2 linked regions of the Elephas maximus indicus genome follow. The protein of the gene in region 1 interacts with the protein of each later gene in a pairwise test. Links are inferred from orthologs where the notes say so. Each region holds a gene or a part of one and is shown on either strand. Other genes may lie near its edges.

Evidence for each region. The genes of interacting proteins can lie anywhere in the genome.
Region 2: the proteins of IPCEF1 (region 1) and CYTH2 interact in binary tests that used the Homo sapiens proteins (3 or more experiments, as listed by UniProt). The link is inferred for Elephas maximus indicus from reciprocal best matches to the Homo sapiens genes IPCEF1 and CYTH2.

The regions. Positions count from the first base shown.
Region 1 is NC_064819.1:226,120,263-226,127,290, forward strand, and holds the start of IPCEF1 (interactor protein for cytohesin exchange factors 1), read right to left. Parts: upstream 3,007-7,028; 5' UTR 2,960-3,006; coding exon 2,941-2,959; coding exon of another isoform or gene 2,900-2,940; intron 1-2,899. UniProt on the Homo sapiens protein: Enhances the promotion of guanine-nucleotide exchange by PSCD2 on ARF6 in a concentration-dependent manner.
Region 2 is NC_064829.1:98,806,347-98,813,907, forward strand, and holds the start of CYTH2 (cytohesin-2), read left to right. Parts: upstream 1-4,552; 5' UTR 4,553-4,736; coding exon 4,737-4,755; intron 4,756-5,598; coding exon 5,599-5,746; intron 5,747-5,836; coding exon 5,837-5,903; intron 5,904-6,887; coding exon 6,888-7,006; intron 7,007-7,561. Other genes in the region: KCNJ14 (ATP-sensitive inward rectifier potassium channel 14), read left to right, coding at 327-884. UniProt on the Homo sapiens protein: Acts as a guanine-nucleotide exchange factor (GEF). Promotes guanine-nucleotide exchange on ARF1, ARF3 and ARF6. Activates ARF factors through replacement of GDP with GTP.

The sequences.
Region 1 (7,028 bases):
TGAAGATCAAAGACTATATAGCCTTCAGTGTGGCTTATACCTTAACATAAAGAAAACAAAAATCCTCAGAACTGGACCAATAAGCAACATCATGATAAACAGAAAAAAGATTGAAGTTGTCAAGAATTCCATTTTACTTGCATCTACAGACAATCCCCATGGAAGCAGCAAATGACATATTGCATTGGGCAAATCTGCTACAAAAGACTTCTTTAAAGTGTTAAAAAGCAAAGATTTCACTTTGAGAACTAAGGTGTGCCTGACTCAAGCCATGATATTTTCAATCGCCTCATATGCATGCGAAAGCTGGACAATGAATTAGGAAAACTGAAGAAGAATTGATGCCTTTGAATTATGATGTTGGTGAAGAATAGTGAATATATACCATGGACTGCCAGGAGAACTAACAAATCTGTCTTGGAAGAAGTACAGCCAGAATGCTCTTTAGAAGCGAGGATGGTAAGACTTCGTCTTATGTACTTTGGACATGTTATCAGGAGGAACCAGTCCCTGGAGAAGAATATCATGCTTGGTAAAGTATAAAACCCATTGAAATCAAACCCATTGCCATCAAGTTGATTCCGACTCATAGTGACCCTGTAGAACAGAGTAGAACTGTCCCAAAGAGTTTCCGAGGCGTGGCTGGTGGATTCAAACTGCCAACCTTTTTGTTAGCAGCCATATTTCTTAGCCACTGAGCCAACAGGGCTGTTATACAGGTTTAGAGGTCATATAGCTGCTAACTGGCAGACACAGACTTTGAACAGATGTGTCTGACCCCAAAAATACGTTTTCTTCCTGCTATATCACACTGTCCTCTCCACCACCACAACCAACACCAAGTCCACCACTTCAACCACCACTTTCAACACTACCACAACCTGTACCATCATCTACACCACCCCTACCACCACCACTTCCAATACCACCTCCATCTCCATCTCTACCACCAGCTCCATCTCTACCACCACGACTTCCACCTCTACCACCATCACAGCCACCACCTCGACCACTTCCAGCACCCCTCAAACTCTACCACCATCACAGCCATCACCACCACCACCTCCACCTTCACATTCTTTACCTTCACCTCTACCACAACTACCACCTTCACCATCCGACCACCATCACATTGCCACCCTTTTCACTTTGTTGAGGTAGGGCGTCTTATCAACTATTTCCTACAAAACACCTTCATATTCCCTTCCTGTCCTACTTCACTCTGACCTCTTCCAACCTGCATTCCCCTGTATGCATAGGTAACAGAAATAAAGTGACAGCTACTGCACCACTACAGGGTCACTATGAGTTGGAATCCATTGGACGGCAATGGGTTTAGTTTTTTGGAAGCCCTGGTGGCGTAGTGGTTAACAGCCACAGCTGCTAACCAAAAGGTCAGCAGTTTGATTCCACCAGGTGCTCCTTGGAAATCATATGTGGCAGTTCCACTCTGTCCGCTAGGATCGCTATGAGTCGGAATCAACTCTACAGCAATAGGTTTGGCTTTCGTTTACCCAAATGTATTCGTTTTATGAAGACCCCATTCATTCATTCAACAAATAGTTATTGAGAGCATATGATGTGGCAGGCACTGTTCTCAGTGCTAGGGGTAAAGTAATTCCTTACAGGGTTTTCTTCAAAAGCAAAAGGCTTACAGTTTAGGATTTTCTTCACACATGCATACACCACTAGCTGTATTAACTCTACCTGCAAATTGTCAGCCTGGGCTCTGGTTACCAGCTCACCCCGCCTGGCCTCCAAGCTGGAGGGAAAGCAGAAGTGAGCTGTTCAAGAAGGATACACGAGTCAAAAGGAAAGTCTCAGGCAATAGTCGTGAAGTAATGTTTTATCTCTTATTGCCACAGCCAACTACCGCAGGAAAGAACTTCCTATTTCCATATTCCGATGATGTGTATTTGCTTAATGCAGCTTGCCTGAAATAATTTATACATGGACCCTCTCTAAAAAAGATGCTATACGAAAAGGCAAATTAAAGAAGGAGAACGTCAACAAGTACACAAACTTAAGTCCTCTTCCTCCTCACTTGCATGATGTGAGCAGAAATAAATGCGTGTTCTTTCTGTTTCTGTTTTCTATGTAAAATAAACAGCTCTGGAGGATTCAGACTCTGCCTTTTTAGGGTATTGTACAATAGCACATTGCCTACAACAGTACTGAGAACACACAAGCCCCTAGGGACTAATGAAGTCCACTACTGGAGTTATTTATGCCCTTGTGGGTTGTAACTCTGACTCCTATAATTAAATTTCTTTCATATTTACCCAAGCAAAGAAAGCCAAGTGAATCTGACTCACGGTGACCTTATAGGACAGAGTAGAACTGCCCCATAGGGTTTCCAAGGCTGTAATCTTTACAGAAGCAGACTTCCACCCCTTTCTCCCACAGCACCTGGTGGGTTCAAAACCTGATCTTTAGGTTAGCAGCCCATTGCTTTAACCACTGTGCCACCAGGGCTCCTTGCCACCTACATACAAAGGGGGGATAGCCACAAAGAACACACTTTCTCAAAAGAGGGTGACAACAGGGTGTTTCCCCAAATAAACTCCTCAGGCCCCAAACCGATGCTGAATTGTGCTTTTCTAAATCAAACCCATAGTCTACAGCCCAAGCAGCTATCAATATAACGTCCATTTAAGAAACAGAGAAAAGCAGAGTGAGTACATGAGTCTCCCTCAAAGCCCTGACAAAATTCAAGAGCGCCTTTAGCACTAGACTTGACAGCAGCAGGTTTATGAAGAGCTGGGTGAATGCTGTATCCCAAGAGCCACATTTCAGAACTCACTCTTCTAAAGCTCGTGCTAAGGTATCCGTTGCTTTACCATCTTGATAGGCCAAGCAATTACTTCTTAGACATCAGCCAAGGCGTGACTTTACTTACATGCAAGAAAAAGAGTAAATCCAAGAGCTGGTTCTTTGTACCTGAGTTCACAGCACTCATAATACTCTGAGGCAGAGGCTGAGGGTTCTGCTCTCTAAGCAGCTCCAGCTTCACAGCTCAGTCTACACAGGACTACCATTAGAATTTGACCAGAGAATGAAGCTCTTGCGAAAGAAGAGGAAGTGTCATCTTACTTCCTCAATTTCATTGTTCTTCCTTCTTATCATTATTGAGCCCTTCCTTGATTCCAATACGCAGGACACAATGCACGCAACACAGGCACACCCTAGCTGTCTGGCTCCATTTGTCACCAAACACTACCGAGTGTATCCCTTCCCAGGACACATATACAAAACATTATGACATGGCTTCACTTTCCTGTTTTGGAGGCAAAGATGTTTTCTCCCAAGCTTGCAGGGTGAGATCATTTGTAGAGCCATTTTCATCATGGTAGGTTGAGATGCCACTTGTTAACCATCAACCCCATTCAGGTTCCCATTTCCCTCACAGTTTCCCTTCCTTGACCTCTCCCAACTCTGCATAACAGTTTACTCAATAAAGAGGGCACTGATAAATTTGTGAAAAGCATTTTAAGATAAAAATAAGTCTTAGTCTACCGTTCTTTCCCAGCACTCACAACAGATTCTCTAAAATCAAAGCTTTTCTTCCACACGCTAGAAAAGGAAATTGGCTAAAAGTTAAAAATATTTGAACTTAACTCCAATATGTTCCTCACCCTGCCTCAGGCCTATCTTAACCTCTCCTTTTCAACATCAGCATCTTTTCATTATACTTTCTTGGGGAAAGCATACTGTCTCACTTTATTTATTCTCTGCTTTCAAAGAAAAGGAAATAAACCATTAGAAACAGGCCAGCATAGTCTTCCAAAATGTAGTAGCTGTATCCTTAGCATGTGGATTAGCTATCTATCTCTGCATAACAGATTATCCCCAAATTTAGATGTTTAAAACAACTAACTTCTATTATCACCTGGTTTCTGTGGGTCAGGAAGCTGGCACAGCCTAGCTGGGTCTCTATAGGCTGCAATGAGGTATCAGCTGGGGCTCCGGTCATCTCAAGGCTGACTGGGGAAGGATCCACCCCCACGCTTACTCACGTGGTTGTTGGCAGAATTCAGTTTCTCACGGGCTACTGGACTGAGGTTCTCAGTCCAATGCTAGCTATTGGCCCAAAGCCACCCTGAGTTCTTCCCCATATGGACCTCTCCTTAGCTCAGCTCAAAACATGGCAACTGGCTTCATTAGAGAGAACAAATGAGAGCGTGAAAGAAAACGGGAGAGAGTATGAGAAAGACATAAGTCACTTTTGTAACTGATTCTCAAAAGTGATATCTCTGCTTTTGCCATATTCTATTTCATATTCTCTTTGTTGGAAGTGACTCACTAGGCTCAGTCTATACTCAAGAGAAAGGATCATCCAAGATGTGAAGACCAGGAGGTGGGGTCACTGGGACTACCTCAGAAGTCTGCCCACCATACTGTGTAGAACTTTTATCTAAACTCAAGTTGCACCTCTCAAGCCAAATATGAGCAAAAGGGAAGTCCCATCTAAGGGTAAAATCATTTATATAGTTATACCTCTGAGACAACGTCTGAGACTTTCATCCAGGCATGATATTTGGGGCACCCTACCTTAGTCATTACCAAGCTCACACTGGTCAGGCCTAGAAACTAATGATCCCCATCATTCCATCTCCAAGAAACAGACCAGTTAACATACAAACAAAAACCTAAACTATAAAATTAACCAAGAATCTGGAAGGTAATGGATGCAATGTCAATAACCCAGTCCCAGTGCCATCGAATCGATTCCGAGGGATGAATGTTCACCTAACCACAAGCATGAGAAGGCTATAAGCCAAGCACAGATTTAGACCTTTCTCTGTGGCTTTACATAGTCACTTTAAGCATTCATCCCATTAGGATCAGAATTCTGGACACCTGGCATTCCTTCTTGAGACACTCAATGAATCTGCTGTTTCCTAAAACTGACCAGCAGGCAGGGGTGGATTGACCAGCAAGCAAGGTATACACTGGCATGTATGGGGTTGATTGTATTTACTTGCTAACCTGTGGTGAGCAATTTCACATGGGTTTCACCACATCTTTGCCATGTAGGAGATAGGTGAAATTGTACACTGCAGATTGGTGAGAAGGCACAACTGGGCCTGTGCATGCCTTGCTTACAGGGTAATCCTACCCTGCCAGCAGGACTTCATTGCCTGTAGCTCCCAGGGAACCCCCATGGTATAAAGGCAGATCACTTCTTCTAGCTTGCTTTTAAGTATGAACTGTGTCTTAGTTATCTAGTGCTGTTGTAACAGAAATACCACAAATGGATGGCCTTAACAAACAGAAATTTATTCTCTCACAGTCCAAGAGGCTAGAAGTCCAAATTCAGGGTGCCAGCTCCAGGGGAAAGCTTTCCCTCTCTCTTGGCTGTGGGGGATGGTCATTGTCATCAATCTTCCCCTGGTTGAGGAGCTTCTCAGTGCAGGAACCTGGATCTAGGGTTATTCTCCTGGCTCTTGTTTCTTGGTGATATGAGGTCCACCTGTCTCTCTTGCTCCTTCTCTCTTTTATACCTCAGAAAAGATTGATTTAAGACACAACCTAATCTTGTGGGTTGAGTCCTGCCTCATTAATATAACTGCTGCTATTCCCACCTCATTAACATCATGGAGGTAGAATTTACAACACATAGGAAAATCACATCAGATAACAAAATGGTGGATAATCACACAGTACTGGGAATCATGAACTAGCCAAATTAACACACATTTTTAGGGGACACAATTCGATCCGTAACAAACAGCTTGGGCCGGGGCAAATAGATGGTCTGTTTCCTGGCCTGCAGATAACTGGGCCCAAGGAGAAAAGGATCATTCAGGGTAGAGAAGTAAAGAATTCCATTGACCTTAGATCTGCCTAATTTAATGATATGCTTGTAACATCTGGCATTCCAGACAGAAACCAGTGTCCCTTGATTGTCGATGTAACTTGCAAAAGATTATGGACAACATTTCTAAAAGCAAAGTGGATATCCTTTGTATGGCATGTTTTATGTCTTGGCTTTTAATGGCCAGGAGATTTTTAATTTATAGATTAAACATGGCCTACGTCCCAACATACCCCATACCTCACAAGCCAAATATCAATTAAAAAAAAAAAAAAACTGTGTTAAAAATAAATAACATTGGGGAGTCAGAGGAAGAGATACTATATAAACAAAGTTAGTATCTGGTAAAAAGCTATGACCTTTGAGGAATAGATCATAGTTTGAAAACTGCTTCAGTCTCTGGTTTCTGACTTCTTCTCATTGTCTTTATATTCTTTCCACAAGAAGATAATTTAAATTAAATTTGCAGAGGAGTAGAAGAAGAAAAAGAAGATGCTGTACATTTTGACCAGAAACACAATAAAATTCTCTCAATGGCTTCCCATTTCTGTGAACTTCTGTTTCTGGGAACTACGACCTCATCTTCTCCCCACATGAGTTGCTGCCCTAGTTCCTTGCTTTATGTGGCATCCAAAAAGTGTTAGATGGTGTTAAGGTATTTAGTAACATCAATAGCAGAGGCTTGTTTCTCACTAGATTTTTAGATGCCATCATCAAAGGGCATGTTATTCATAATTATGGGGTCAGGGTTGGAGTCACTTAAATTCTTTAAGTATAGATCCCCTGATGTATAAAATTGGAGTAATCCTCAAGGAGATTGGACTTCTAATTCAAGATGGTGGGCTAATGACAGAACCTTTTTGCCCCCTTCCTTCCTTTCCAAGACCCCTTTAAAATAAAAATAAAACAGCTGTCCCCAAGTCAGTTCTGATTCATGGGGATCCCATGTATGGCAGAGTAGAACTGTGCTGTATAGTGTTTTCAGTGGCTGATTTTTTGGAATTAAATCGCCAGGCCTTTTTTCCAAGGCACCTCTGGATGCATTAGAACCTCCGATCTTTCCATTACCATCAGGATGCATTAACCTTTTGTACCACCCAGGGACTCCTTAAAATGATAGGAAAAGTTTAAAAAAAATACAAATACACATAAAAATTAAAAAAGAAGAAGGAAGAGCATTAGAGAGATCACAACAGATTTCTGGAAGATG
Region 2 (7,561 bases), on another chromosome or scaffold:
CCGCCCCTGTTGGGGGGCACTGCCTGGGGAAGGGTTGGGCCCTTCGCAGGGTTGGAGGGCGAGCCCTGGGGCATTGTGGGAGATGTAGGCGTGCATATGCGGTGCGCGTCGCGCCTGGAAGACCCTTCGACTATACCTCCCAGAAGCCTCGGGGCAGGGAACGTGTCCAAATGGGGTAGACTGATCAAAAACCAAAACACCACCACTCCCCTTCACTGGTGGTCTCCGCTCTCCCCTTTCTCTGCATTTCAATTCCTTCCTCTCCCTGTCTCTGTTCCTCTCTGTGCTCCCTGCTCACTGTCTTTGGTCCCTCTCTTTTGTTGCAGCCCCGTGTGACCCCGGAGGGTGAATACATCCCACTGGACCACCAGGACGTGGACGTGGGCTTCGATGGTGGCACCGATCGCATCTTTCTCGTGTCTCCCATCACCATCGTGCATGAGATCGACTCTGCCAGTCCCCTGTACGAGCTTGGCCGTGCGGAGCTGGCCCGGGCTGACTTTGAGCTGGTGGTCATTCTTGAGGGCATGGTAGAGGCTACAGCCATGACCACACAGTGCCGCTCCTCCTACCTCCCTGGTGAGCTGCTCTGGGGCCATCGTTTTGAGCCAGTCCTCTTCCAGCGTGGCTCCCAGTATGAGGTCGACTATCGTCACTTCCATCGCACTTATGAGGTCCCAGGGACGCCTGTCTGTAGCGCGAAGGAGCTGGATGAACGGGCAGAGCAGGCATCCCACAGCCCTAAGTCTAGCTTCCCTGGCTCCCTGGCTGCATTTTGTTATGAGAACGAACTGGCTCTGAGCTGGTGCCAGGAAGAAGAGGAAGAAGAGGAGGCCAAGGAAGGGGATGGGGCAGAGGCAGAAGATGGGACTGCCAGTCACTGAGTTCTCACACTGATCCTGGCGGTGATCCTGCTTCCATGACATGAGCTGGTAGCACCCATCTGTGCCTCCTTCCCAGAGGTCGCAAGATGGAGAGATGGGGCCCTCTCTGGGATGGGGTTGGTGTTTTCCCAAGGCTGACATGCCTGCTGGGTAAATTATTATCTGGTCAGGCCCTGCCATGCCTGGAGGACCCACCATGGACATACTGGACCTTAATTCCTCTGCATTCCATGGTCCCTCCTGAGACCCCCCTCCCCCATTATAAGCCTCATTCCTGTGTCTCGCCAGAGCTGAGGGATCCAGAATCCTGGACCACCCAAGAGGCCAGGACTAGTGGTTCTGGATTCCTCTGTACGGCTGGTCCTGGGTAATTGGAATCAGTGGGTCAGGAATCAGTTGTCTACGCCATCTCTAGGAGAGGAAGTTGGCAGTTATTGAACAGCAACAAAGATAAAGAGTTTGTAGGTCTGAACTGGCCTAAGATTCGAGGGACTCACCCAACAGCTTCCAGACTCACCCACCTGAGTAGCAAATCATTGGTTCTAGATCACTCAAAGAGGGAAGGTTATGGAATGCCCCAAGTATTCAAACCCCTCTCAACTGACCAAAGACAAGGACTGGTTACTGCAAGCCAAAAGAAGACCTTGTGGTTCCTGAGAGCCCAAGAGTTGAGATTTTGTGAATCTAGACCAGGTTTGATCTCAGGAGTTGAACCACCCCAGAAATTAAAGAGTTATGTTTCTAGAATGCACAAAGCAATGGGGGAGTCCGTGGGTCTAGGAGGACTAAAGTGACAGATTGGGAGTGACAGATTGGGAGTTCTTGATATTAGATAACTCAGACACTGTTGAACATCCACTTGAGAGAATAATCAATGCTTCTAAATGACCCATAAGACGTTGGAAAAAAAAAAAAAAGTGCCATTCTAGAATACTGAAAGGAATTCAGATTCTGTGGGTCTCGACTGATCAGAGTCAAGAAAATGATGGTTCTAGAAGTCTAAGGTTTGCTGGTTCCACTTTGCCCAGTGGAGTTGAGAATCTCAATGATTGTGGATTATGAACTGATAGAACAAACTTCTTTGTGGTTCTGTAATGCCAAAAGGAATCAAGGCTCTAGGGATCCAGAGTTGTCCATTACCAAAGCCTGGAAGTTCAAATCACCTCCAGATGGGATGCTTGGCCATTCTAGGAGATGCACTCAGGAATTGAGAAGCAGCATTTCTGGGCTGTCCAGGAAGGCGAGGGCCCAGATAAGACCCTGTAGGCAACAGGGCTAGTTAGTGGTGAGTCTAAAATGCTCTGGAATCCTACACCTAGTTATGTGTATATATTTCTTAAAGATGTTATACACGTATGTATCATATATATATAATATAAATACAGATATCTATTTTTCTCCCCTGGTTCCTACAGGAGGGTAGAAATTGAACTTGAGGTCACTGGAACAAGTCTTTACAAGACTCCAAGAAGCTTTTCTCTATATCCCAACTCTGCCATAACTTACTTACTGTGTGACCTTGGGAAAATCACTCCCCTCTCTTCACCGCAGTTTCCCCATCTGTAAAATGGGGCATTGGAACTTGAAGATTCCTAAGAGCCCTTCCAGCAGGATGGTTCTTCACCTCACCGAAGGTGGGGTGGAGGTGAGGGTCCTGGGTGTTTCACAGCTCTCCCTGGTGTTGGCACACCTGGTCTTCCGGGGTGGCTGGGAAGGGAGATGCTCATGGAAGCTAGGTGTCTAAATCATGGCACATGCAATGGGTAGTGTGTGGGCTGTGGCCAAGGGCCAGTTCACCTCCTCCTTGGCGGCTGGGGATGGAGGGGTGAGCTCGGAATGCCAGGGATCGTCCCGCTGTGAGGACAGTGTGTTTTGGGGGGGGGGCGAGAGCTTCCCCTGAGATTAAAGAACTGGGAGCCCTCATGGGTGTGTTTGTGAGTATGTTTCTGGGACACTGGTCCTCGGAGCTGGCCCTTGGCCCATGTTCCCATCTACCTAAGTACTCCGCAGGCCGAGAAGCAGCCGCAGAGAGTGCCAGTACCAGGGGGAGGACAGTTCCCGCCCCAGTGTCCCAGGACTGAGGACAGGCAGTCATTGCCATGAGCCTGCCCAAGTGCTGCATCAACCCAGGTCCCCCCCCCCCGTGTCCCTACCTCCCGTTTATGCTTCAGAATCCCCACTTAATGACCGGATGGGATTAATTAGCTGGCTTCTCTCCCAGTTTAGGGTGTCTGGGGTAGGGACTGGGGGCAATGGAAACATAGCTCTCAGGGTTATGGGGAAGAATGTTAAGATGGGGTGAAGGGACGGAGAGGGCGCTGTTTGGGAGAGGGGGCAGGGCTGGCACCATCTGGGTCTCCCCTGAGGAGGGCAGGGTTTGGGCTTCTCCTAAAGGTCACTGAGGAGATTAAGAGGCTCGGTGTCTAATCCGTCAGCTTAACCAGGTCCTGGCCCTGAATGTGTCCCCACCTGCCCAGCACAAGAACAGTGAAAGAGGACGAGGATGAGGTCCAGACATCCCCTCAGCCGGAGTGAGGGACCTGCCACTCAACAGGTTTCCCGTCTGGGTTCCTGCATCCGCTCCCCGCCCCCCCCCCCCCCGGCATGGAATGGGAAGGAGGGGCTGGGGAATGGGAGAGGCCTCCTATATGGGAGGATTTTTGAGAGGAGGGAAGAGTCTGAGAAAGGGAAGCGTATGGGAGAACAGACGAACCAGAGGGAAAGGACTCCGAGAGGGATAAGCCATCAGAGAGGTGTGAGGATGTGAGGAAAGGGGAGTTGTTTTAAGGGCAGGATGCTTGCGGAAGAGAGGACTCTTGGGAAGAGGTTGCTAGTGTAGGGGAGGATGCTGAGCTGAGGGGAGAAGTTTGAGGGTGGGAGGAACTTAAGAGGAGGGGAGGGGTGGGGCCTGAGAGGGAAAGGCGCCAGGAAGGCGGAGCTTGCGTTTTCACTATATTTGGCTTTCACTTGTTGCCTTCATCTCCGTAACAGATGGCTAGTAGCGCAGGGTCGTCCGAAAGAAAGAAAAAGTCTTTTGTTTCACCACTCCCTGACTCTAAAAAGCCTGAAGTGGATAGGGCGGTCTTGAAAGTGGTTAAAAATAAAAGGTCTGGAAGAAGGAGCGGGCAAAAACCAGGAAAAGGGTTTGTTTTTTTTTTTACGGGAGGAAGGAACTAAACCAAAAGGAAAGTGAGCCAAAAATGGCTACCGGTTGCCTGGCAACCGCAGCCTTCAAAAGCCAGCGTGGCCAGCTAGGAGGTGTGTCTCATTGAAACAACTGACAGTTTTGGCCCCGCCCCCTAGCAACAAGAGCCACAAAGTACCGTCCCTCAGCAACTAGAGGCGGGGCTCGGTTGAACTAGTCTCCTAGCACCAAGAGGCCTTGCGCAGGCGCACTTCTCCCTGCCCTAGTACTGTTGCACCTCCAGGCAACCCGTTCCGAGGCTTCTCATTGGCGGGCCATTCTGCCAAGCTCTTTCTTTTGTTCCGGAGGCGGGGCCTTGCGCCCTGCTCGCACTCCGATTGGCCCCACGTACCATCTACCTCCGGCCCAATAGGCCTACATCTACTTCTTGCACTCCCATTGGCCCTGGAGGACGGTTTTTGTTTCGGGGGCGGAGCAGACGAGAGGGCCCGCCGTGGATTGGACGGTGTCAAAACGGGGGGCGGTCCCTACTGGCGGGGCGGTTGGGAGGCGAAGGGAGAGTCTTTTCAGCGCTGAGGACTGGCGCTGAGGAGGCGGCGGTGGCTCCCGGGGCGTTTGAGCGGGCTCACCCGAGCCCGCGGGCCAACGCGGATCCCGGCCCGACTGGCGGGACCGCCCCGGACTCCCCGCGGGCCTTCCTAGCCGCCATGGAGGACGGTGTCTATGGTAGGTCGAGGAGGGGCGGGGCTGGCAGGGAAGCGGATGAAGCGTTTCTTCGCGAACGTTCTGCCGCGAACGTTCCCTCCCGGCGCGCGCCGCGCAGAGACGTTCGGCACTGTCGACGCCTGGCCTTTGTAGAATGCGGGCCGGGTTTCCGGCGGTGCCCGAGAGCGGGGCGTTCCAGGCCATTGTTTGGGCCGAGCCTGTTTCCGGTGGCGGCGGGAGGGGCAGAATGGAGTGGCGGAGGCGAGCCCGGGCGGAACCATCCCCGCCGGCGGGGCCCGGCGAGCCCAGTGCCTGCCGGGAGCGGGGAGGGGGCTGCTGGGGGTGGCCAACTGGAGAGAAATCTTGGGGCTTCCCGAGGTCCCGCAAAGGCGGGGGCCTTTGATGCCCCGCCCCCCTGGTGCAACTTTTGTAAGCAGTCATCAGCGTTCCTTGGCATAGTTACTTTTCATGGACCCAGGAGTCCGGACTCCTAGCTTCACTCAGCGCCCAGGAGCCCAGACACCTAGCTACCTCGCCAGTAATGAAGTCAGGAAACCAAGGCCTCGGCCTCCTCCCAAGTAATGGACTCAGAAGTTCAGGCTCCCAGCCCTTTGCTCCCCTAAACTTAATAATTTTCAGGCTCCCACTCCTCCTTCAGACTCAGGGGTCTGGGTGCCAAGTCCTCTCCTCCCCCAGGACTTCCTCCCCTGGACTGAAGAACCCAAGATCCCAGCCCCTTTTTTCCCCATAGACAAAGACGTCCTGATCCTCATCCTCCCCCTGGACTTCAGAGCCCTGTCCCCGGTGCCACCCTCCCTCCAGTCCCCCCAGGCCTGACCTCCAATCCCTGACTCCGGCCCCCAGAACCCCCAGACCTGACTCCAGAGGAGCGCATGGAGCTGGAGAACATCCGACGGCGGAAGCAGGAGCTGCTGGTGGAGATCCAGCGCCTGCGGGAGGAGCTCAGCGAGGCTATGAGCGAGGTTGAGGGTCTGGAGGCCAATGAGGGCAGGTGAGGGCCAGGGTGAGGGACATGGAGTGCAGGGCTTCAGGCGAGGGCTGCCCAAGCATTGATCTCTGACCCCATTCTCTGCCCCTGCAGTAAGACCTTACAGCGGAACCGGAAGATGGCGATGGGCAGGAAGAAGTTCAACATGGACCCTAAGAAGGTGTCTGGGGCCACAGGGGCTCGAGTCCTGGCAGGGGCTTCTGGTATCTCCAGGTTTCAGAAGTGTGATAGCTGTAGGTCTGCTCTAGGTGGACAGACTGGGTCTTCATCCCTGGATTTGGAAATTGGTTGTCCATTTGTTCTCTGAATGCTCATCAAGCATTCCAGCCTCCCAGCCTTTGCTTATGCTGTGTCCCCTGCCTGGGAGGTCCTCTTCCTCTTTCTTCTCACATTTCTGTACCCATTTCTGGTGTCACCTAGGGTCGTAAGAGGAACTTGGGTCTGGTAGGGGACGTGGACAGTGACATGCACAGAGGAGAGTTGACAGTACTCTGATAGAGGAAGGTAGTGGGGCCATGGATCAGGGAGGGCTTCCCAGGGGAGGGGACATTCAGATCACTTGTGAAGGATGAGTATATGGTCACCAGGTAGAGAAAGGACGTTCATGCAGTCATTCCTTTGACATCTGTTTCCTGAGGCCGCCCGGAGCTATGGCCCTATGCTAAGTAGGCAATGCTGAGGACCTAGCGAGGAGTAGACCTTGCCCTGCTCTCAGGGAGCCCCCAGACACAGTCGTCATAATTCAGAGCGATATAAAATGAGAATGGAGGTCCTCATGACGTGGGAGCAGCCAGAAGAGCCCCAGTTCAGCCTTTACTAGTTGGTGCCTGCTTAGAGTTTTTCACTTCGTCTTGCCTGAAGCATTTGGAGTTTGTTCAGTCGTTCAACAAACATTTATCCAGTGCCTCTTGGTGGCCGGGCCCTGTTCTCGGTGCTGGAATTCGCCAGGCAGAGGCAGAGGGGACGGCAAGTGCAAAGGCCATGAGGCGGTGGGATGGTCTTTGAGCACCTGTGAGCAGACTGAGAGTGAAACCTGGCCCTGCTCTGTTGAGAGTGGGGGTGGGCTGGGTTGCTGAGGTTCTGGAGCTGCAGGGGGGTGTGTCTCTCTGGCCCTTGGCACTGAGCCCCAGTGCCCACCCACCAGGGGATCCAGTTCTTGGTGGAGAACGAACTGCTACAGAACACACCCGAGGAGATTGCCCGCTTCCTGTACAAGGGCGAGGGGTTGAACAAGACGGCCATCGGGGACTACCTGGGGGAGAGGTGAGAGCATGCCGCTCCTGCCAGGCCCCTCCCTGCTTCACCTCATACCTATCTCCTGCCCCCTCTCTGCCAGCTCTTGGATGGACTGCCCTACAGCCTCCTCAAGAGGCCCTGATAGACAACAAATGACTGACTTGTCTTTCCTGCCCAGCTTTGATAGGAGGGCCTGGGACAGGCCTCAGGCTTTGTCTGGGGGAGCCTGGGACCACCAGGGGAGTATGGGAATGTCTGTAAACGTCTGGGGACGGTGGAGATTGTGAGCATTTAGGAGCATGAGAACCATGTATAGACAGGTGTGCGTGGGACTGTGAGGACATCTGGGGAGTGTGGGGACCATCTGAAAGTTGAGGGTACACGGGCTTGGACATCAGAGGTACCGGAGACCATCTGTGGACTCTGGGGGACATAGCCTGTCTGGACATCTAAGTTGCATGGAATTACCCGTGAAAGTTTGGGATGTGCACATCTGAGGTACATGGGACTGGACATCTGGGGTGCGTGGGGACCGTCTTGGCATCTGAGGTGCATGGTGATTGTGGATATCTGGGGTGCATG